Neodiprion lecontei: one gene and its partners. The protein of the gene in region 3 interacts with the protein of the main gene of each other region in a pairwise test. Links are inferred from orthologs where the notes say so. Each region holds a gene or a part of one and is shown on either strand. Other genes may lie near its edges. The genes, in order: protein hairy, protein mothers against dpp, homeotic protein ultrabithorax-like and myocyte-specific enhancer factor 2.

Region 1 (5,817 bases), on a different chromosome or scaffold from region 3:
CGAAAAAGAATGCCAGGACCCTCGGCGAGACATCCGGGCTCTGAAGGGTTTCGCGTCATCCCGCCAGGCGGCAGCAAGTCCTTGCAAAGGGTTTCGGCGGCAGGACGCACGCTGGACTTTTTTTGGTGCTCGAAAGGCGCGCACCGTGCTCACCGAGAGCCGGACGCCGAGGAGTGGGAGAAGATGGGTCCTTGACTTAACTCGCGGTTAGTCGCTCTCCAGACGTGCAACGTGTGTGAGATGCGAGCGGCGAACCGGACCGAAGGAAGCTGATTTCTTGTTCAAGAAGCGAACAATTTTTAATGGCACTTTGCAGACCGATCATTTTTTGTAAATATATTTTTCGGATAGTTTGACGAATTCTAATACTACAGAAACGTCGTGGTTTTTTTTTTTTTTTTTTGGAATTTTCAAGTAGAAGAGCCTGAATCGGCTTCGTGAAACGATATGAAGACGTCAGAGTCGGAGTATAAAGTACAAAGGGAAAGGAGGTGTGCGGCGGATGGGGTTGAACTGACGAGTCAAATTAAAGGTTTTAATAAAGAGATCAATTTATTTGACACTCTTGTTGTAATAAGCGTGCTTTTCTATCGTCATAATAGACAGGAATAATAAACTCAATCTTTTACACTCATAAATATAAATAAAACATTCTTACATACGTCCTTTCTTTCTCTCTCTCTGTCTCTCTTTCTCTTTCTTATCTACCTATATCTCCTCTCCTCTACATATTCTTTCGTCAACTTTTTCTCGTCGTATCTCGCAATTTCTTACATCACTAAACCGTCTAATCGGATAATCATAACAAATTAATTACAAAATTCTTATACATCTATTATAATTTACACAACGTTATTACACATTTTATTTTTATTCTGTTTAAACGTTTTTTTTCTCTGCAGCGCGATTTACGTACACAAGAAACATATAAGGTATTAATTATTATTAATGGAAGACTTGAGTGATTCTTGTTGCGTAAGGCACTTATATAGTTTAATAATCGTAGAGGGTGACGGGGGTACAATAACGTACGTTATACCTACACTTTACAGTTTACTATATTTACATTTCTAAACTGTCGGATCGTCAAGGTTCAAATGAATTTCAATCAAATAGGTTTCCGAACCGTTAGTAGAAAAAAAACCAAACCATTACACATTTATATTTTCATTTCTTCTTACTCTTATCCATCGTCAATTAGTCTCGGTTAAAGTCCACAAGTGGCAAATATCTCTATATATACAAAACAACTCTAGATACACGATCTACAACAAAGGCACTGTTCAAGGCACTGCCCAACAGGTTAATTATTATACTGGCCGACATCGCGGAGACACTCACTCTCTACATCCCTAAGCTCTAAGTCGTTACATCATTCTCGTTGGAAATAAGAAAATGAATGAAAATCATAAAAAAAAAAAAAATAACAACCAATCAAAGTCAAAATAAAAACGAAGATCAATTAGTCTTTGTCGGGGAAGCCCAAGTCATCGATATTCTCTCATCTCTCGATTCGCACAGGCGCGTTAAGGTAAATCCTCGATAAATCTCCTCCTTACCAAGGTCTCCAGGGTTTGTCCTCGACCTCAGGAACGACGCTCTTCCTCATAACGAGAGCGAGAGGTTTCTGCAGCGGCGCACTGTAGACCCGGGGATCGAACTCAGGGTCGCTGGTGTATCCGTTCGCCGGTGAAGTGGCGACGTCTCTGTGGCTTGCGGTGGTGGTGAAGGGTGAATTCTGCTCCCTGAATGTGGGCGGGGGCGCCTCAAAGGCAACGGGACTGCCGGCCGAGGTGGAGGTCGAGCTCGTCGAGGAAGAGGACGAGGATGCCGACGCGGTTGAGGCCGTCCTCTGGGGGATCGGTATCAGGGTGGGTAAAGGCGACGCGGGGGCCGGCGATGCCGACGGTGACGCGACGGGTGTCGCCTTGGCGCCAGCGGGCAGAACGAGGGCGATGTCGCCGTTGGGAAGGCGCGTCGGTACCAACTGGAGTCCCGTCCCGTTGGCGTTCGTGAAGAAGATGCCGTTCGACTGCTGGACCTGGATCCTGGGTGTTGCGTCGACCTGCGGCAGGATGTGGACCTGGAGTTGGGTCGCCGGCGCCGCCGGCTGCACCGGCTGCTGTCCGCTCTGGCCGTTCGACGTCGTCGTCGAGTCGACGGGGCCCAGGCACGAGGCCAAGTGCGCCATCAGACGTCGCTTCACCGACGCCTCGAGGCCTGGGAACCGGCCGACTTCTCCTGCGCATTCTGTGAATCCGGCACGGAACTTGTTCAGCACGTTCGGGTCTGTCGCCGCCGCAAGAGCTACTTGCTGACGCTGCAACGTCTCCAGGTGCTTTACCGTCATCTCGAGGATGTCAGCTTTTTCCAGCTTCGAGTGTCTCGCTGGCTGTAATCAGAAATTGGAGAAACACGGTGGTTAGTCGAATGCAGTCTTGTCGCTGCAGAGGAAAGGATACGGAAGAAACAGAATGAGAACAGGACTAATCCTCACGCCTGTTTCACCTGCTGAGCTATTCGAAAATTATAGATACTTACGTCTTTTTTCATCGCGTCGAGTATCAGGGTCTTCAGATCATTCAGGCAGTTGTTAATCCGAGCCCGACGACGTTTTTCCATTATCGGTTTATTGCTCTGTAATTAAAAAAAAACATCATCGTCGGTTAATTTCAGGGTCACGAATTTAAAGCGTGCTTACAAGAATAAAAAAATAAATAAATAAATAAAACGAAAATAGGCACAGGAAATTTCAACCCGGAAAGCAGTGGAAAAGAAGAAACCGGCCGGTGGGATTATTCGCGGTATTAAAGCCGGCCGACGGCGACGTTCTACTTTCTCTAGGCACTTGGACGCGTCGCCTTTAACAGCCTGCCTACAATCGAATCGAGCGCTAGACATTTTCGCCTCAAAGACGACAAGTGTCCGTCGGTTCAATGACTCTTAGAAATCAGAAGCTGCAGGTGTCTCCGTAAAATCGAAATAAGAATGAAAATCCAAATGTGTTCCGTTAACCCGCACCCAACTGAACACCCTTGAATAATTCGCTCCGAAAAGACGCGGAGTGGATCTCGCAACTTTTGAGTGATTGAAATTTCGATCAGAAAGAAAAAAAGAAGAAACAACGCTGATAAAAACGAGAACAATTTTTCACATCGAAAGGCAAAAAGTCGGACCATTCTTGCCATCTTTCCAATTTCTTGACCAGCCAACCGGTTATACGACTCGATCGGAACGTTTCAAGAACCTTGTCGGGATTTTAGGGTGTTCTTTTCGAACTAGCTATCCAACAGCTCCGAAACGTGCTCAAGATTTTATCGAATTTATTCCTTATGTTTCGCTAGATTTCTTAAGATTTCTTTTTGTTTCCCATTATCTCGAGAACATATAGAAGAGACACTAACCCGTCGATTTTCCCCGGATCGTCTGGTGGTTGAAGTCGCAGTCTGAGCAGGAGGTTGTCCTGCCTCCTGAGGCACGTGTTGGGTCTGTGGCGCAGAGCCCACCGTGACACCTCCGGTTGGCATCGTAGCACCAACTCCGGTCACCATGATTTAAACGTTATAATCTCACCTCAGAGAGACGAAACCGGGCGTATACAATCTCGTTTTAATCAAGTTTAACTATCCTCTCCACTATTTTGAAAAACAATGTTTTTTCGTTTTTATTTAATATATTATTTCACACTTCACAGGTAGGTAGTAAAAATAATCCAAAGCTTCTTCGACGGCGATTGATGACGGCGAACGAATCACTTTGTTGATTAAAAAACCAAAAATTCTTAAAAACCACGTTCTTTTCTTTTTCGTTAACGTCCACACTCGTCCCGTAATCCGATCGGTGGTCAATTTCGTAAAATGAAAAAGTTTGGAATTCTTTATCGTAAATTGCAATCGAAGTCGAAGCTTCAATCATCCGCGGCCAATTGCCAGATCGCTAGATCGCTCCTAGGCTCGACCTGTCGCTGAGCGCATCGGAGCTCGACTGACTCGCGTACTCGCTGCAGTCCGACGTTTTCTGGCTCTAGACTCCGACTCCTCGAACGAGCCGACCGTCCTCGACCGCTGGGAGGGGGAAACGGGCCCCCCCCCCCCCGCCCTGCCCCTCCGCAGCCACTTTTGGCCGACGGCGCCGCGCGGCTGCACGCTTCTCGACCCCCACCTCCGGCCTGCTCGAAGCGACTCGTCCTGACGCGTCTGGCCGTCGAGCTTTGCGGTTGCCTTGAGATCCGCACATATCTACACATTTACCTACTACACATTCTACTATACCTGCACTCCCGGCAGTCTGCGGCTTATCTGTAGGTCGTGTTTCGTTTCCCCGGTGTTTGGAATATTCCGCAAGTGCGAGTAGATCGACAATCGCGTGGGATCGCGACACGCGGAATAATGTAGCAAGCTCGAGGCATCCCCGAGAAATGTCTTTTGCGGAATAATCGTGAGTCTGAGTTTATGAAGCGGTTTTTCCGCCAAGTGTAATTGCTAGTCATGACATCGTGAATCGTCCAACTACGCCGTACTTTAGCCGCGTTATTAATAGTCGCGTGCAGAGCACTCGGTTACGCGAGAATATGAGAATTAGGAAATCCTGCTTTCTTTGCGGTTGATCGGAGTTCTTTGCACTCGGGATGTGATTCACTGACGCGATAAGTAATACGAGCGGGGTTATCGCGATATCCGGTGTGTTGGTAAAAACGTCGCGGAATCGTACCAGCAGCCTAAGTCAAGGTTTACAATTTCGTCGGTTCGTCATGGCACCGCTCAAACTACTCGGCGTTTATACGGACCGGATTGCACGCAACAAGGCTGGCTGATCTCTCCTTCTGAGTGTGTCAGTCGTGCGGAGTTTCTTGCATCGTTCTCGTCATAGTCTCGTGCACGTGGGCGAGGGGTCGGAGGAGGGCGAGTCGCGCCGGGAAGCGGCTCGCGACCCCCGGAGCGAAATAGATAACGCGGTGCATCCGAGGCGCGAGTGGGACGGCGATAAACGCACGCGTCGAGGGGAGGCTGGAGAGTGAGAGGAGCAAGTATAGCGAGCTTGGGAAAGTGGAGGGGGGAGGCTACGCGCCGACGGAGAGCTCGAGAGACGGGCGAGCGACAGAGACGCGAAACATCACCGGCCAATCGGCGAGCTCCTATTCGATCCGTCGCACGCCAGCCGCGATCCCCATTGGCCGAGACGCCGCCCCCTCCACTCACCGAGCGCGACTCGCGTCGAGCGTGCCGCTTAGTTGGTCTGTGGTGGGGCGAAACGATCATTCGACCTCTGGCGCTCGGGCTACGTGGTCGCGATATTTGATATCGGTGGGTCTTTGCGTTCCGTTGAAGGACTTCGACTTTTATCTCTTACAGACTTTTTAACCCTTCTACGATCAAGGTTCGCCCTTACAGGTGTTATACTCTCTTTACCGAGATTGTAACGGGCTGGGTTTGGCTTCGTGATTAAATTCAGCTGAAACGGGGTATCGTAAGAGTCATCGTACCTACGCTGGCGATAAATTCTCCGTCATTAGCCGGTCGTACCTGTACGATCGTCTCATGCGATCATCGACGGCAATCGACGCATCGCCTGCGGGGCTGTCGGGTCGATCCGTCTAACGAGGAATGAACGAGCGGGTCTCTCGTCCGCTATCGCGATTCTGATTGTACCGGGTCCCTGGAGTTTCTTTTTTCGCGTCAGATTAATCGTCGCATCGATATTCGACGTCCGGGTTACCTCACGATTATCGCATCCGTGGACGTTGTGGTCGTGTACTATACACACCCGAGTCAAGCTAGGCTGATTTGTTCAGCTTCGCGGTCGCATCGTGCAGCCAGA
Region 2 (8,036 bases), on a different chromosome or scaffold from region 3:
TTGCAGCCATCTGAAAAATCCTGACATTGCGGCAAAAATACAAAAGCTTCTTGAATCCGGACTTGTAGCAATACATTGAAAAAGACAGGGGAATGGAACAGCCAACAATATCTATAAGAATTTACCAGCTGTACCCGCCTTAGAAGATAACAACGTAATACAATATAACATTCTATCATCGCTGTGTTCCTTCATTACGATGAAGACGGCTTTACATTTAGTTAATGATACGTTAATTTTACAATTTTTATCGTATTCTACATACAATTGGGTGAATGAGGTTTTCGACTCCAGCGAGTGCTTGCCTTTGCTGTTTTGTCTATTATATTGTATTGTGATGCGATTTGCTAGTCAAATCGGTCAAATACCTTTTCTCGATTTTTCAGAAAAATCTGCAAATACGAATTACGAATTTCCCAATGTCTGAAATTGGGCAAGTTTTTTGTATCGGTAAATAATTGAGCTAAAAGGAATAATAAATATTGTCGCATTGTACTTTACTACGAATAGTTTTATTTACTATATTGCTAAATTCGTTCCAAAGTTTACATATTTCCGTGTATAAATTATGTACCCCAAGATGGTACCATGCTGTCTATAAATTGTAATTTTACTTATCTCTTTCAAGTATTCCTGTATTTATTTTATTATTCTTTTCAACCTCGTTGCATAATTTTTCGTCTTCTCCACGTAAACTCGCAAGTGGTAGACTTTTTATATGTTGATGGGTATGCATACAAGCAATCTATCGGGTGACGACTAACCAAATGATGAGTAAGGATATTACAGGAAAGAGAAAAGGAAAAAATAAATAAATACTAATTATGTGAAAAACGGAAAATATACTATGAAATAGTTCATAACGTATCTAATAATAAAAATAAGACAAAAAAATTTTAATTTACTAGCCCATGAAGGCAAGTTCTGTAACGCATACGCTACATTTGGCATTAACATCCGATTCCTCCATCACCTGAATACATGTTGCGAGGGGAGACAAAAAGTGTCGTGTTTCAAGATAATCGAGGAATCAGGTGTAAATACCAGGTGATCTTTCCAAATTTTAACATGAAACTTCAACAGGAAAAGCCATCATATTCATCGTCGTACGTAGCCATTTTTTTTTTTTTTTTTTTTTAGGCAAATATTGATTGCGATACTTTATCTTGAATTGTGCTGAAAAGTAAAGTACAACCGCTTATTATTTATTCCAATAAAGATAATAAATATAAATACATAATGTAAACATACTACATGCATATATAACAACATTATCTATATCTATTGATAATTAAAATATTGTATACACATATTTGTTCTTATTATGCCTCTGATCTTGTAAATGCGTTGCATTGTGTTGTCAAAATATAGCATAGGCAAAAATAGCATGCAATTGCCAAAAATAAATGCAGAAATTGCGTTCTCTTTGCAGAGTTGATCTTACGGTATGACGTCCCATTTCGGAGTTTCGGGGGACTCCGTTAGTGCAGCAAGGCGAGCGATAAGGCCCTGAATACCTTATCATCATCTTTACATACATGCCCTACCAATTGGAATCATCCTGAAACGCCGTCGATGAATTTACAAAACAAGGTCAGCCCGACCGAGATAAAACAGTGGTTTCTTGCATGCCTAAAACGTGCGGAAACGTTTTGCGAGCATGGCAATTTCCTCTTCGACTCAAAATATCAGTCCTTGACCGAAGGCTATCAAAGACGGTTACCCTAATGGGGTATTCGTGCGATGATGGGATTGCGTGTTGAACGCCTCCCGCCGATAAAGAAGCTACCGTATCGTTTTAAACACGGCTTCTCAACGCCTCAGGCCCACTTACCTGCCGATCAATGGTCACGAAAATATGCCCCTGGGATAACAGTCTAAGTTTTTTCGTCAACCTCGTAATTATCAGCGACGTTGAACACCCAGAGAATGCCTACATAAATCAATCGAACCAGTCAATCAGTTTCCCGTTTCACAACGGAGTCGCCAGACATCGTCGAGATCCGCGAACGACTAGCTGCTGCAGCTGCTGCAGTAGCTGCAGTAGCTGAATGCGGTTTGCGGGGAGGGTCTGAAGCAAGCGCAACCCGTGCGGATATTCGATTAGCCAGAGAAGAGCCGAATGAGATGTGAAAAGGGGGGATTCGATCGCGTTGTAATGAGAATTGGTGCGAGCGCGGCGCACACGCGATTGTCGAGTGACGTGCGTCGGCGGTGCGCGCGTGTCGTCGACCGTTGGGTTAGTGGTTGGGATCGCCTCTGTTCTCGGTCACCGGGGGCGCCGGTAGCTCTGGCTATGGCTCTGCCTGTTTGAGCCTTCGAGCAGCGGCGGCGGCAGCATCAGCAGGCAGTCGAGGCAGTGACGCGCGTCGCCCGTAAACACGGCCGCCATAATGCTATGCGACATCATGGACGGTGGTGTGTAAACATTAGTGACAAATAACGTGCTCAAAAATGTGAATCGTTTCCCGAACTTCCGTTTCAGCAACGCGGGTGTTTAATCGTGCGTGTCGGCCAGTACTCCACAGCGCGCACCAGTCTCGCCGAACTCGGCCAGCAATTACGACCGTCGTCTTGCTCGATACCGCGGGTTAATCTTGTGCTTGTGCCCCTCGCGAGCCTGCTAGCCTCGCGAGGAGTAGTCGGTTCGTTCCTTCGACCGAGAGAGCCTAGCGCCGTCCACTGCATGCATGCCCACATTGGCGTGGGGCAGCGGCGACTGATTTCACACAATATCGGCCAGTCTGACGGACGGGGAGCGAATTCCGCCGATAGCCGAGGCGCATCGTATCGCCTACCTGCCTCGCTCGATCCGCACGAGAGTTTAGATCGATTCCGGGGGATTATCGAGCCTGCGTCGATCCTCGTTACGAAATACACGCATATACACGAAGTGAGTGATTTTATTCCCCGGCGTTGTTTTGTTTCGCATCCTTCTTTTTTCTATTTTTTTGTTTGATTCTTCTCATTTCAATATTACTTTACCTTCGCCGCAACTTACTTAACTTTGCGTTTACTTTTGCAATTTTTCTCACTATTCGCTTCTTCTTACATTCTTCTTCTTTTTATTTTCAATCGCCCTTAAAGCAGGGGATCGTCGGATCCTGAGGAGAACGTTGGGAGATTTACGCTACGAGTAACCGCCAACAAACAACAAACGCTCGCCGCACGCACTCTGACTCGTTGCAATTGACAGTGACGTATCTTTACTCGAGGTGCTTCTCGGAACCCCGTCCTTTCGCCAACTTAATCGTCGAAGGAGAAAAACCAGCAACTCGCATTCGCGGAGAGAACGTGAGTAAATGTTACATGTCACGAATTGCCACACAACTCGATTCATTCATACATTCATTCTCTTACGTAGAATATTCCACAGGGTTGTCGTTGTTGTTGTTGTTTTTTTTATCTTTTTTTTCTTTCTTTCTCCGTCGAAGTGTAAATTTATTTCAATTTTTCGTCCCAACAAGTTTCTAAGTGCTATCACTTTCACCCTGCAACGTATATAATATGTATCCGAACAATGAAACGATGCAAATTACATTGGTATACATCTCGAAACTAATTACCGATTTCCGAATGCTAAGAACAAATATCCACGTCCCTCGAATCGGATAATTCCAATATGAATTTTAAAGCCTGTCACTTGTTTTTTCAATTTGTGTCTTACGCTTTTTCATGTTTATTTATTCTCGCTGACCAAATCTTTTACCTCCGAGATCTGACCGTCTTGACCCACGATTTCACCCTGCACGCGGTACAGATTAGGTATGGAATAATTAATTGATTAACCAATTAAGAAACAGTTTCTTTTTCTGTGATTCGATAATTTTATTGTTTACTTTTCAATTTTCACACACGTACCGAAGTATACACGCGAACAACTCGTTACCGCGATTTATCAAACGTACACAACATCCGTGTAATTGGTTTTTTTATAATACGTAAAATTAAATTTCTTTATCGTTCGCAACAGTCTGCCACTATTATATGTACATTACATGTATAAGTATGTATAATTTACAGAACAGCGAGAGAGGGAGAGAAAGAGAAAAAGAGACTCGCGCGACGGATCAAAGAGGGGTGAGGGTAGGGCGGCGATCGCAATAATAATAGAATAAATAAAGAAATTCGATTGAAAGAAATATTCTCGGAACTGTAGTGCCGCTCTGCTCTGCTCTGCCACTTGCCCCGGGTAGTGATTATATATATATAAAATATATATATATGCATATACACTTACACACGTATGCATATACATATATGTACCGTGGTGGTGCAGCAATGGAGAAGGAAGGAAGGAAAAACTGATCGACGAACACGTGTTAATTCGTATACGAAAGCAGCGGGAGTTCGTTTTCAAGTCTCATTTAAGCCGCGTTGTATTACACGCAATAGGGTTCAGACCCCATAGCTCTATGGCGTAAAGTTACGGGGGCGACAAGCGAGTCGTTTCTATCACTTTCGCGTTTTTGTTTTGGTTTTTTTTTATTTATTTTTTTGTTTCATTCAAAGAAGATTGCATTTGCAACCGTGCGACGCGCTCTGTATCGAAATTCCTACAGGTATCCATTGACGAATCGCCGTTCGTAGATATACAGAGTTTGGGATTTCTTTTGCTCTATATTTCGAACGATCGGTCGAATTATTATAGTCGCAACATCCTGTCCGCGTGTAATAATAATACCAGGTGGGTGAGAGAGAAAAAATTCTTGCAGGCGTGAGTCGTCTGGCGCAGTTTTGCGAAAATTTTTCATTTCAGTACAATTTGTTGGAAAGTTGCAAAGCAATATGATGCGTCGAAGGTGAACAGTCGTGTTCTACGTAACGGCACGGCCGAAACTCTGAATGACCGAACGTAATGAATGACGTACGTGTACATGTATTTATACGTTTGTACATATACGCATGCGTTTGTTAATTTCTTTTTCTTTTCTCGTATTATGTTTTATCAATATATTCTTATTATTGCCCATTTATCATCGTCATTTGATTTCGTTGAAGTGCTCGGCAAGTGCAATGACTCACTGTAAGCGGAAAAACGGCAACTGATAGGAAGGGTGAACGAGCACGTTGCTACGCCCGCCCCTTGCCCGCCAACCTTATACTCTACTCTACTCTCTTATTATACGCTCCTCTAACACACTGCGCGTGTAATTTCGCGCCGTTTTTTTTACTACCGCGCCACGTCAGTTACTCTATTCATGTACGTATGTACGTACATAAGTTCCTCTTACGCATATTACACGTAACACGAACACGCGCGGAAAGGCGCACGCGTATCTATCCAACGCTTTGCATTAAACCCTGTTTCATTAAATTCTGCGTATAAAATATAGTGGATTCTGCAGACCGCGCGGTGCTACGCGGAGTACGCAAACGGCGCGCAGAGCGTAAGATCCATACTTTGAACCTCCACGAAATTACGTACTTCAATTGGAACGTGTAAAACATATAATGTATATAATTCTAATTTGGTGTAAAGAATAAAAATAGATCACAGGTGGATCAAAAGTTTATCACCGCGTCGGGGAAAGAAAAAAATCTATTATTCTTACCGCCGACTATATAATTGTTTAATTATAGGCTACTTTTCTCTTTGGGTATATAATCACGTTAAAAATCCGTTGTAAAATTTTTATTTCAAATCCTTCAAAACCAGTTTCTTCAATTCTACGGATCGCCACTAAATTGCGGACAACTTTTGGTAAATATGTACTGCACATTCTACGATCTTTTTCGGGTGTTCGGTTTGCAATGTAAATATTACACATATCACGCAAATATATTTATATGAATATATGTATTTATTTGTAAAAGAAATGCTGACGGTTAGCCAAATGATTAATCACGATCGCCTGCAGATGTTTACTCAACTGCGTCACCAAAAAACACTCATATAATATGAGACAATAGAGCACTCATAGACTATTATTATTATTATTATTATTACTATCATCTGTGAACGAATCGAACGGTAGATATTTGAAAAAATTGCCAGGTCTTCGGAGTTACGAGAATCTTAATTAACGGCTTGCCAACATAATGCGCTGGAGACACAATGAATAACCATCGAGGTATCGAGTGTTCGCAGAAACTTTGAAATTCAGGCATTCGTTCAACCTGTTCCGCAGGGTTTCATTACCTGAGAACGCTCGACGACCCTTCTTCCACCTGACTGACCCGTAACTAATTTGAACCCTGCAATCCCCATCAGCTGGCTATTGTTTTTCCGTAGTTCAAATATTTTTGCAAGATCGTGTCAACCAATGAATTGAATTGTAGTATTTTATGAACAGACGATGATTATAGATGAACACATATTAGAGTTAAGAAATTATCTTTCAACCGAATATGTGACTGATGTAAACAAAATTTATTTGTTTCGTGACGCTTAAACTAAACATATAAAATCTAACCGCGGTGATTTATGTCCAACTTCGATATCTCTAAAACTGGTATCGTGGCGGATTATGGAGGAAAGATGAAAAAATTCTGTTAATTTCTCTAAAGAATTTTTATACCAACGAACAATGCACCAGCAATCGAATTGAACAAAAAAAAAATAAAAATTCCGTTTCGTTTTCAGGTGGAAGGTGGAGACGGACGAGGTCTTAATACTCGCGAACAGGATTCAAACCCCGGAATCGACGACCGTTTTGAAAATATTCTGAGCCAGTAATAAATCGCGATGGACGACGAGGAGGGTTCGTCGAGTTCGGGTCCGATGTCGTCCCTGAACAGTTTGTTCTCGTTCACGAGTCCGGCGGTAAAGAAACTGCTGGGATGGAAGCAGGGCGACGAGGAGGAAAAGTGGGCCGAGAAGGCGGTCGACTCGCTTGTGAAAAAACTGAAGAAACGAAAGGGCGCGATCGAGGAACTCGAGCGAGCTCTGAGCTGCCCTGGGACGCCGAGCAAGTGTGTGACGATACCTCGGAGCCTGGACGGTCGGCTCCAAGTCTCGCACCGGAAGGGTCTGCCGCACGTAATCTACTGTCGCGTGTGGCGGTGGCCGGATCTTCAGTCGCACCACGAGCTCAAGCCCCTCGAGCTCTGCCAGTACCCCTTCTCGGCGAAGCAGAAGGAGGTCTGCATCAACCCGTACCACTACAAACGCGTCGAGAGTCCGGTTCTCCCGCCCGTTCTGGTCCCCCGACACTCCGAGTTTGCCCCGGGCCACTCGCTCCTTCCCTTCCAGCAGCTTCCGGAGCCGACAATGCCGCACAACGTCTCCTACTCGTCGAGCGGCTTCAACTCGGGGACAGGCGTCGGCGTGAACCCGACGTCCCCGCTCTCCTCCGTCGGCTCGGTGCCCAGTCCGGGCAGCACGACATCGCCGAACCCGCAGAGCCCTTACGGTAGTAACGGCCTGCCGGAAACACCACCGCCGGCTTATTCCCCTCCGGAAGACGGCTCGCAACACGGACAGTCGCCGCCTCCTGACGCCACGGCGATGGATACGGGTGGCTCCGCCGAGGTAGCACCCGTTTCGTACCAGGAGCCACCCTATTGGGCATCGATAGCCTACTACGAGCTGAACTGCAGAGTCGGGGAGGTCTTCCACTGCCAGTCGCACTCCGTTATCGTCGACGGATTCACCAATCCCAGTAACAATTCGGATCGGTTTTGCCTTGGGCAGTTGTCGAATGTAAACAGAAATTCGACCATAGAGAACACCAGGAGGCACATAGGAAAGGGGGTTCACCTCTACTACGTAGGCGGTGAGGTGTACGCCGAGTGTCTATCCGATTCGGCCATTTTTGTACAGTCCAGGAATTGTAATCACCATCACGGATTTCATCCCAGCACCGTATGCAAAATACCACCAGGATGCTCGTTGAAGATATTCAACAATCAGGAGTTCGCGCAGCTACTCTCGCAAAGCGTTAATCACGGATTTGAGGCCGTCTACGAGTTGACCAAAATGTGCACTATTAGGTGGGCCGAGAAGACCTGTTCTACCTATTTTGTCTTTATTAGTAGCAGAGAAAACCCCACTTTCAATAATTCCAGTCGAGCTCACAATCTCAACTTGAATT
Region 3 (4,829 bases):
GCGGCGCGGTTGCGGGACGGAGAGGCGTATAGAGAGGAGTCGAAAAGTGAGATCAAGTCGGGCTCTCGATACGCGTGTATGCGTGAGTGTGCGTGAATGTGGGATGAACACAGGTAAGCCTCGTGTAGCGGTGATTATTCCCATACTGGAAAAGAGGGAGAGAGAGAGAGAGAGAGAAGGACCGGACTCTCGGCCATCCAGCAGCGTACGTGTGACTGAGATCAGAGTATAAACAGCTGACTCCCGGAATTCAGGTTCCGGAGGGGTGAGTGGCAAGAGAAAGGCAGTTGATCGGTTGAACCCCCAATTGGACGCTCCGCGCCCTCATCCCCTGCATTGTGTACAATAGGCGTATTACACGTACCTACGTACACACGATGACATTTGTATACGAGCCCACGGAGCACTTATCTCCCGTGTATACACAAGGACCGTGCTTATGCAGGCGGCAATTTTACACGCACTTGACTCCGTTTTGCCGCCGTCTTAAGGGCCCGTCAATCCGCGGAGGTTTGCGTTACAGGACATGCGGGAAAATTGATATCGGATATTAAACGGTCTCACGGGAGGAAACTTTTTCTTGCGGATGAATCAAGCCGGTAGTTGGCAGGCGTAGTAGGTCGACCAGAGACCCAGAATTCAGACTAATTTACGATCAATTTATCTCCGGCACTGAATAGACACCCACGTCTAGTCTAGACGCGCCGATTGTTTTTATTGAGATTCAAAGTGGAGAATCTCGGTCAAACAAAATCCGGCCGTCGCGCAAGTATCCTGGCTATAGCGATTTGTCACGACGCGATTAGGTACGCGAAAGACAGACACAACCGCGCGTACATTCGCATACACAAATTACCCGGTTCGTCGCCTGGCTACTTTGAATTCACCGAGCAGGCGTTTTTGGTCCCCTGGTCTCTCTCTCTCTCTCTCCCTCTCTCTCTCTCTCTTTCTCTGCCGGCGAGTCTAACCGAGCGTGAGTCCACGTGCTTCGAAAGCCCCGAAGTGTAGGTATTGTACCTATACGCGGCAAGCACGTGTGCGATCTCTCCGACTAAGAACGGTCGCTCTTCACCCTTGCAGCTACTACTAGGTGGATCGGGACCGGTCGGCGAAAGGTCGGGGATGCAAATTGCGCGTGACAAACTCACCTGCTATGGCCATCCAGGGGTAGAAGGTGTGATTCGCGGCGGGTTGCTGATGGAGCTGGGTGGCGACCGGTTGGCTGGCCGCCGAGTTGAGGCTGCAGGTGTTCCAGGAGGAGGCTAACGATCTCGAGGAGCCGTTGTTGCCCGGACTCGAGGCAGGATCGCCTCCCACGAGGCTGCCGTAGCTTCCGACCCTCGTGCCCTCGGGTGTGCACGCGGAGGGCCTGACGACCGGGTTGCTCTGTCCGTTCGCCGCTGAGGTTGCCGACTGCCAAACGTCCTTGACGGCCGCCGCGGCCATCACGGCCGCATATCCGTTCTGGTGGGCCGACTGGTCCTGCTGTTTGCAGTCCTTCGCCGTCGAGGACGAGTAGGACGAGGTTGTGTGCTCCGGGGTCGACGAGTATATCTTGCAGGCCGTCGCGACGCTCGCGTCGTACGGCGAGTCCTGGGGTGGCCTGGTGTTCGTTCCGCCGCCGGGGTGGATGCCCAGGGAGGAGGACGTGTGATGATGGTGCTGGGTCGAGGCGTACGGCGACATCCCAAGGCCGAGCGGAAAGGTGCTGCGATAGGCAGCGGCTGCCGTTGCGGGGTCGTGGTGCTGGGCCCCGGCCCCGGTCTGGTGATGGTGGCTACCGTAGAAGCCACCGGCGGTCTGCTCGAAGTACGAGTTCATTATTCCTAGTATTTTGAATCACTTGCACTGGACACCCTCACTGGAAATATTAAACCCTCCCTCCGCCAAGGCGAGAAAACGCCAGGGGACTTTGGTCCCGGCTAGAGGAATAGTCTGTACGGTCAGCTGTTCTCCACTCCTGAGTATAAGCTGGTACAACGGATCGCGACGGAATCGCGAGGCTCGACGGCTCTCTACGGAACCGCGATCGAACGAGGACAGGTGAACCAGATGAGCAAGGTGCGAAGGTGGCGGGGATTCCGTGAGGCAAGTAAGGACCGTTCAAGTGGCCGTAAAATTCACCGAGCGGTAGGGTCACGACCGAGATTTCGAGAGAGTCTCGGTGGCGTTTCGGCGGGCGCCCTCCGGTACTCAACGGGCCACTACGAGTGCCGATCAGGAATGGACACCATGACGCGTTTCTGGCGATTAGACGAGCGATCGGTGAACGGACGGCCGCGGTACCACGTTGCCGGCTGAGCCAGCACCCTGGTGCTGCGGTGGTTTGGAGGCAGAGGAGAGTCGCTCGACGCGGAGAGTGACGACCGTTAAATCGTAACGACGCAATAAAACCCGGCAATAAGACGGGCTATAAAAGTTGCCTCCTCGTCTTTGACTCTCTGGTAACCGCGACGCGGTGCGCCTGGCACGCGACCTTCGTCAAACGCCAGATTTCCCTCTCTTTCTCTATCTTTCCCTCTTTCTCTTCCTTCTTCTCTCTCCCTATCTATCTCTCCTTTTCCTCTACTTCTATATCACCCCCGCGATTACAATACACCCGATTCGTTTGACATTTCGGTCTGAAAGGTATTATAATATACAACAGGAAGTCCGCTGTCTATTATCGCATATAAAAACGGTGCTCGACTCAAGCACGCGGCAGGAGCGCAGGTGGCGCCCGTAGTTCCCCGTCTCTACTCGTTAATGTATACCGAACCCGTTGGTACCACCAGGCTGGGGTGTAAACCGCGTGAAACGAGATAAGGCCGCGCGACTCGGCGGTCGGAACTGCACTAGCACTCGGTCGAACGTGGTGGTGGATCGTTTACGCGGACTCGAGCGCGACTGGCGCGGCGCGCTCGTCCCTCCTTGTCGTGCCGCGTCGTTCCGTCCCGTTCTGTCCCCTGCGTGAGAGTCGGAGGCGGTGGAGGCGGCGGGCGGGCAGCGGCGGCAGCGGCGGCGGCGGCAGCGGCAGCGGCGTGTGCGGTGTACGCGAAATGCGGCAGCCTGGGAAGGGGATCGTAACTTGGCCACGGTATGCCGGTGCGGTGGTCCACGGCACACTGCTTTTCTCGCGCCCGGCGTACCGCCGCGCCACTCGGTACGTCCGCTCTTTCTCTCTCTCTCTCTCTCACTTTTTCTCTCTCTCTCTCGCTCCTCCACAGCCCCCGGGACCCTCCCGTGGAAGAGGAAGGCGACCGTCCCGTCTCGCTCGCACGCGTGCCGCGCCCCCCTCCGCGTGGCCGGGCCGTCCCTCGACGCTGGATCTATCTCCCCCTCGGAAAGCTCGGGGCTGCTTACAGCGCCCCCTGTTGGCTACTCGAGAAACTCGGCGACGTGCCGCCGGATTAAAATCGAGAACGCCGCTCCGCGGATACGCCGCTGGGTGCCAGACGAGGACCGAGAACGAACGGCGAGAGAGAGGGACGAGTCGCCAAGGAACCGATGGGGTCGCAGGTAGGGGAAGAGCGCTGCTTAAGGACCAATCGGAATTGAATTCGTCACGAGCGCCGCGCCGCCACGCTGCGAGCTTACTACGCCCGGGGAAAGTAGTTCCCCGGGTGAACGACGCCAATAGGCCAGCCAGGACCGCCCCTCTCCCACCCTCGAGCTTTCACCCTGGAGGGAGATACCTCACACGCGGAGTGTCACGCGTGGAGGACCGCTCACCGTCGGCGCCACCTCTGAGGAGAGCCGCGAACCAACATCCACATACTCATCCCGGCCCTCAAACGACCAACATCAACGACGTTCAATTGCAAATTCTATTATTACGATCGACGCTCGCACTTGTTCCTTTATTCGCATTTCGTTTTGCGTACTATCTCTCTTATTGCCGACGCTTTTGCCGCGACGACAAGGCGAGCCGTGAATGAACGGAATTCGGCGCCGTTTCTCTCAGTTCCGGCAAACTGATCGGAGCAAGCGGTTCAAAAATGCGGAGCGCGCAAATTGTTACGAAAAAAAAAAAGGAAATTCGGCACGATAACGAAGTCGAGTAAATACGTGAAACGAGAGAAGGTGGTAAAGACACGCAGGAAATAAAATGCAATGAACACCGCGGTGTAGCTGGCGCGAATGAAACAGTTGAATGAAAATAATCGCGGAGATAACCGGTCTCGTGCCTCGAAACGCGGCAGGCAAACGTATGGTAATAATAATATCGTTAAAGCTTTTACGAGCACTTTATGCTTTACGGGCCAATTAGACAACCGTACAATTAAAATGTCGTAAAAATGAGTTCTTCTTGGTTCCGTATTACATACATTAAATTCACGGCACACGGTTACAACGGCGTTGCGATATAATATACTTTATACGCACAAATATCGCGTCTATTACATCGCGTATAATATCCGTATCACACATATTACACCGAAGTGCGCGGCTTCTCCGATTGATGTGTGAAAACGTAGGTGTGCGCAACACGCGCGTTAAACCAGCGCACACATCCGTATCTTGGACGTTGGTATCGGGTCGAGTGTTTATTGGGATGTAAATGTCGTTGGATTATCGCCCCCGCGGTTCGCACCTCGTAAATTATTCCATAACGATCCGAGTAATGCCCATCATAAGCCTCCCGTGCCGCTCGAGCTTCCCATTTGCTCTTCCACCCGCCACCCGTATTACACACACACACACACACACACAGAGAAATATATATCTATACATAAACGTTTATGTATACGCACGAGCAAATGCGCCACGGAATCTCACCACTAGCTGCCCGAACTGCAGCTCGGAAAGCTCGGTTGATGAACCGAATTTTCGGGATCACCGGGCCAATC
Region 4 (4,705 bases), on a different chromosome or scaffold from region 3:
GAGGAGCTTTCGAAAGAGCCTTGAAAGCTCGATTCTAGGTGGCGACGGCGGCCACGTTCGTTTAAAATAAATAAAGTAACGAGGCAAAAAAATAAATAAAGAACGTATAATAATTATAATAAAAATTGTAATAATTATAATAATGGCAGTAACACCAATGACAAAAAAAAGGCAAAAAAAAAAAAAAAAAACGAAACAAAAAGAGAAGAAAATTAACATCTTGATTACAGATCAAACGAACAGGTAACGCAAATTTAATACCGTGTTATAAATTAACTGATAAACATCTATCTGCACGTTCATCGTAAAAAAAATATTCTCAACTCCTTTCAGATCGTCAACTCTGAATCACCATAGCGCGTAAACCTTGTGCTTGCCGAACGATTAATTACGCTTCAACTTGAACTTGGAAATAATGAATTTAGTTATTCAATTGTAACTTGCAATACTCGAGAAACGTGATAAGACAGAAAAGAAAATCACTTTTCGATGCGAAAAATCTTAATGTGACCAAATGAATACTGAGATTCTAGAGACTGACACTTTTTTCCAAGTTTCAGACATCGGAACTGACTTACAGCTGAGTACAAATTGACTTCTGAAGGTGTATCGACAATCTGAACTCGACGATTGGTTCAATCGGATTCAACGCCTATCTCCAGATTTCTTGCAATATGATAGAAGAGAACTTTTACAAACTGAATCGACGCCAGAGTACAAACGAATGAAAAATGTGTAACTGGTATCGACTGGTGAAGGATGGGAAAGTAAGATCGAACAAAGTTCTGAGACCGAGATGCACTCCGAGAATAAATTCGCTACGTTGGGCTGTTATTTTATCAGACAGAACGACGAAAGGGTGGGAAGTAAAAAAAAAAGGAATATAGAAACGCCATAAAGTTATGGAAAAGAAGTTACGTGGGAGATAAATCATACGATGTATTGTAAACAATGTTTAGTACGGTGGCAAACAGAGGTAAGAGGCAAAGTAAACACCGTCGAGGAGTCAAGTACACGAACAAATTCGCTCTCGCAGTCATAATGACAAAACAAAATACAATCAGTCTTCAATCAACAAAACTACTATATAATAGTTGCAAAGTTACTAAGCTCGACTGCGAGTAACGGCGACGATATTGAAATTCTTCGAGACAAATGTGGAGCAAATATTGAGAAACGACGTGAGAAACGGGAGGTAAGCGACGACGATACTTTTTTGCACCAAAGTCGCGCGCGGTGTTAACAATCGATCTACACACATCGTCCGAAGTTACTCTGTTATGCGCATACGACACATGTAACTCGCAGTCGCTAGCATGTATCAACGTGTGTGAAAATAAGAGAACTTCTGCCGCTGGGTTTGTTGTTTGACTTGGTAAATTTACGACCAGCTCAGTCGACTCCGATCCGACAATATTCACCGTCGTGAACATGTAACTTGGGATATATTGTTTGTGAAAACTGTAATTGAAATTGTAGCGCTGCATCGATTATTGACCAATAATCGAAGCAATTTATCTTCAACTTCCATCAATTCCAGTTTCCCCCCTTTTTCCCGTATTTCTCATCCACCCAATAATTGACGTGTTTATAGCCGATCTGAAATTTTTCCTTTTCCTCTCTCCTCTCGTATCTGGTGAGAATCATTATTTTCGCTACCTACCGAAAAGGAAACTCAATGTCATGCGTACGTATGTGTGAAGGCCATGTCGTTCCAACACGATACAACATGTCTACGACGACGACGACGACGACGACGACGGATCGGTACGAGAGCCGACGACGCCGTTGCGTGAAAAAGTCCACGGACAAATACATGCGTGTTGTAATGATTGTTACTACGGTGTAGCACGAGTATTGAGAAAAATTACACGGAGAACCGGACATGCGGTATCCGTGTACGAGCCGATGATATACGCGCATGTAAATATACGCGAATTTATGTACGAAGGCATAGGTAATACTGTATCATGTACATATCTTGCGAATAAAATGGGGGTCAATAATAAATAATACTCACGAATATTGAACGAGAATCGATTCTCTCCGTCGCAAGTTCCCCTCTGGTATAGGTGCACAATATTATCCTTTCGACTTTTAATCTGTCTTTCATGTATATAATAATATTTATAGTTAAAAACAGAAAACAAAAACTTAACACCAGGTTTTTTTTTTTTTATTATTATTATTGTTATTATTATTATTTTCTCTTAATTTTATATCACTTTGTACGTCAACATGTTGGAACCGTGTGAGTGTGTTTATTTATTTATTTGTTTTTAATATATTTTCAAACCTGTGTATATTATGTGTACAAATATACCGCGTATATGTATATATATACACATGTATATATATATATATATATAAATGCATATGTATGTATGCGTTTATGTGTATACCTATGTCTCCACTGTGTACACGTACGTCGTATAGATATATCGTTGTATATACACCTTGCGAATATGTGTATTATATATTATGTACGTACCTATATATATATATATATATGTACCTATATATACATATACAATGTGTGTGTGTAATTTAAGATACGGAGAAGCAAAAAAATAATAAATATAATAAAAAAATAAAGAAATTAGAAGAAAAAAAAAGAACAACCATGATCAACGAGCTAGGAGTTTGATCAAAACCACAATTTTCATGACGTCATCGGGCGCGGGGCATGCGCAATTTGTTTTCGGTGATTTTCCACGTACATAACGCGCTCATAACGTACCACCACGTGTAAACTAACACAGAAAATTGTTTTCCCCTAGTCTACATAGCTGTCCCGCGAAACGACTCGCCCGCCTCTCGGTCACCTCGGTTCAGATTTTTCTTCAACTTCGAGACCGACTACGGAACGTCGACCGAAAACCAACCGTTCCCAGAGGCTACTTCCATACACTCCCACTTGTTAAGTGACGTCCACTGACGTCACCGATAGTTTACCTTGAACGCATGACATTGAGCCGCAGTCCGGCCAACCCGCCGTCGACAAATCCGTACGCGGATTTTCGTTGGACATATGTTTCGAACATACTTTTCGAATAATATTATACTCACGTTGTTGTCGGACTGGTCACGCTCAATTTGCACTATTTTCGTTTGTAAATATCCCTCGCGAATCACCTCGACAAAACTCACTGTTATCACACTCTTTTATTCCGGTTATTTACCCCCTTGTTACTTTTGAACAAATTCATTATTCTCGGGGAATTTGTAAGGCTGATGTGGGGGAATTTATTCGCGCGCGGCCGATTGCCGTATTCTAGAGATAATTGCGGTGCGGTCGATAAATGTGTATCCATTGCGCAGGCCTCGCTTAGCGCGGCAGAAATTCAAAACGTCCGATTTTTCGAACGACTCGTACGTGAACGCACGATTATTCAATTTTTTCGATACGATATTATCTTTGGCGTTGTCATTATTTAACACCACCATCAAACGATCAGAATTATATTACAGAGGGAATCTTTTGATCTCCTGTAATATACATACTCTTGTTTGTTTCTTCTATCGCCACTAAAGTTAGTCTTTATTCTTTAAATTCCAACGGGAAAAAAGGGCAAGAAACTAACGACATACCTAAAGTCAGTTTAATATTAATCCACCTGGTTTCCAAATCGAAAGTCTATAAAATAAGAAACGTCTTAATGCCGAATATATGTGTAATACAAATTAACGAACAATCGATGGGTAGATTTTTCTCGTAACATTTCTCAAAATTACACAGGCAGGCTAACTGTCACGATCTAATACAATTTAATTACATTTATCGAATTACAGTTATTGTCTTTTTTCAAACGATTTAACAGAGGGCCAAGAGATATAAGAAACAAATGCGAAAAGTTGCGTGATCGTCGCGTGTATAATACCGGCGTTGTGTGGAAAAACAAAAAAAAAAAACACCCTGGTGAAAATATGTGAAAGATTAATTGTGCATATATACATAATAAATTTTTTTACCAAATAAATTCCTCGTGAACGAAGACGTAAGCAAGATCACAATCCAATTCTTTGACACGGAAAATCAAATGAAAACAATCAAACAAAACTGATAAGAAAAATACCCCACAAACTACACGCATCAACATTTGCCTTAGAACCTTGTTACGCACGCACCGTTTATCACACAACTTACACCGCGATATATTTCTCAGGTATTGTAATCTCAAAAATTTGACCGGCGGAGCCACAATACAGTCTGTGCTGAAAACGTCGGTCATCACAGCCTCTGCTGATGCAGGTTAGCTGACGGAGACGAATTTGTGCAGCTGTCGGTCGACCCTTTGAGGTTAGAATACTTATTTTCGTCGGTGGATACCAGGGTGTCGGTTCACCGGGATAAATTTTTCAGGTGGTATCGGTATTTTTCTTTTCTCCACCTCGAATGCGATGACAATTCAGGGCTCGGTGTGAGCTGGGAACATTCTTTCGTTGTCCTCTTGCGAAATGGCGAATTTGACGAACGCGACGAGCGGCGATGCCGAGTTCAAGGCAAAGGTGAAATTCGACCCTGAGGAGGACTGTTGCAGCTCGACCAGCCGCCTTGGGTTCGACCCTCAGACTATTCCTCCGCCCCTCGGATCGCTCACGATAGAAGAATGCCCAAAGAAGAAAGTACTCTTGTTGAAAACAATTTTGGAGCGAGATCTTGTCGCTGCTGACATAAAGTGGTCTCTCTTCGTCGCTGCCTCTC

Evidence for each region.
Region 1: the proteins of homeotic protein ultrabithorax-like (region 3) and protein hairy interact in binary tests that used the Drosophila melanogaster proteins (3 or more experiments, as listed by UniProt). The link is inferred for Neodiprion lecontei from reciprocal best matches to the Drosophila melanogaster genes Ubx and hry.
Region 2: the proteins of homeotic protein ultrabithorax-like (region 3) and protein mothers against dpp interact in a protein complementation assay, tested with the Drosophila melanogaster proteins (2 studies listed by BioGRID). The link is inferred for Neodiprion lecontei from reciprocal best matches to the Drosophila melanogaster genes Ubx and Mad.
Region 4: the proteins of homeotic protein ultrabithorax-like (region 3) and myocyte-specific enhancer factor 2 interact in a protein complementation assay, tested with the Drosophila melanogaster proteins (2 studies listed by BioGRID). The link is inferred for Neodiprion lecontei from reciprocal best matches to the Drosophila melanogaster genes Ubx and Mef2.

What each region holds. Positions count from the first base shown.
Region 1 is NC_060261.1:36,901,495-36,907,311, reverse strand, and holds protein hairy, read right to left. Parts: upstream 4,068-5,817; 5' UTR 3,552-4,067; coding exon 3,405-3,551; intron 2,638-3,404; coding exon 2,542-2,637; intron 2,393-2,541; coding exon 1,556-2,392; 3' UTR 527-1,555; downstream 1-526. UniProt on the Drosophila melanogaster protein: Pair-rule protein that regulates embryonic segmentation and adult bristle patterning. Transcriptional repressor of genes that require a bHLH protein for their transcription (e.g. ftz).
Region 2 is NC_060262.1:38,138,948-38,146,983, reverse strand, and holds the start of protein mothers against dpp, read left to right. Parts: upstream 1-2,023; 5' UTR 2,024-2,893; intron 2,894-3,087; exon of another isoform or gene 3,088-3,090; 5' UTR 3,091-3,294; intron 3,295-6,586; 5' UTR 6,587-6,688; coding exon 6,689-7,935; intron 7,936-8,036. Other genes in the region: stress-induced-phosphoprotein 1, read left to right, coding at 7-79.
Region 3 is NC_060260.1:3,090,389-3,095,217, reverse strand, and holds the start of homeotic protein ultrabithorax-like, read right to left. Parts: upstream 3,010-4,829; 5' UTR 1,822-3,009; coding exon 1,149-1,821; intron 1-1,148. UniProt on the Drosophila melanogaster protein: Sequence-specific transcription factor which is part of a developmental regulatory system that provides cells with specific positional identities on the anterior-posterior axis. Binds the consensus region 5'-TTAAT[GT][GA]-3'.
Region 4 is NC_060264.1:25,820,332-25,825,036, reverse strand, and holds the start of myocyte-specific enhancer factor 2, read right to left. Parts: upstream 3,030-4,705; 5' UTR 2,623-3,029; intron 2,297-2,622; exon of another isoform or gene 2,103-2,296; 5' UTR 2,021-2,102; intron 1-2,020. Other genes in the region: protein mono-ADP-ribosyltransferase PARP16, read left to right, coding at 4,459-4,705. UniProt on the Drosophila melanogaster protein: Transcription factor that could be a key player in early mesoderm differentiation and may be required for subsequent cell fate specifications within the somatic and visceral/heart mesodermal layers.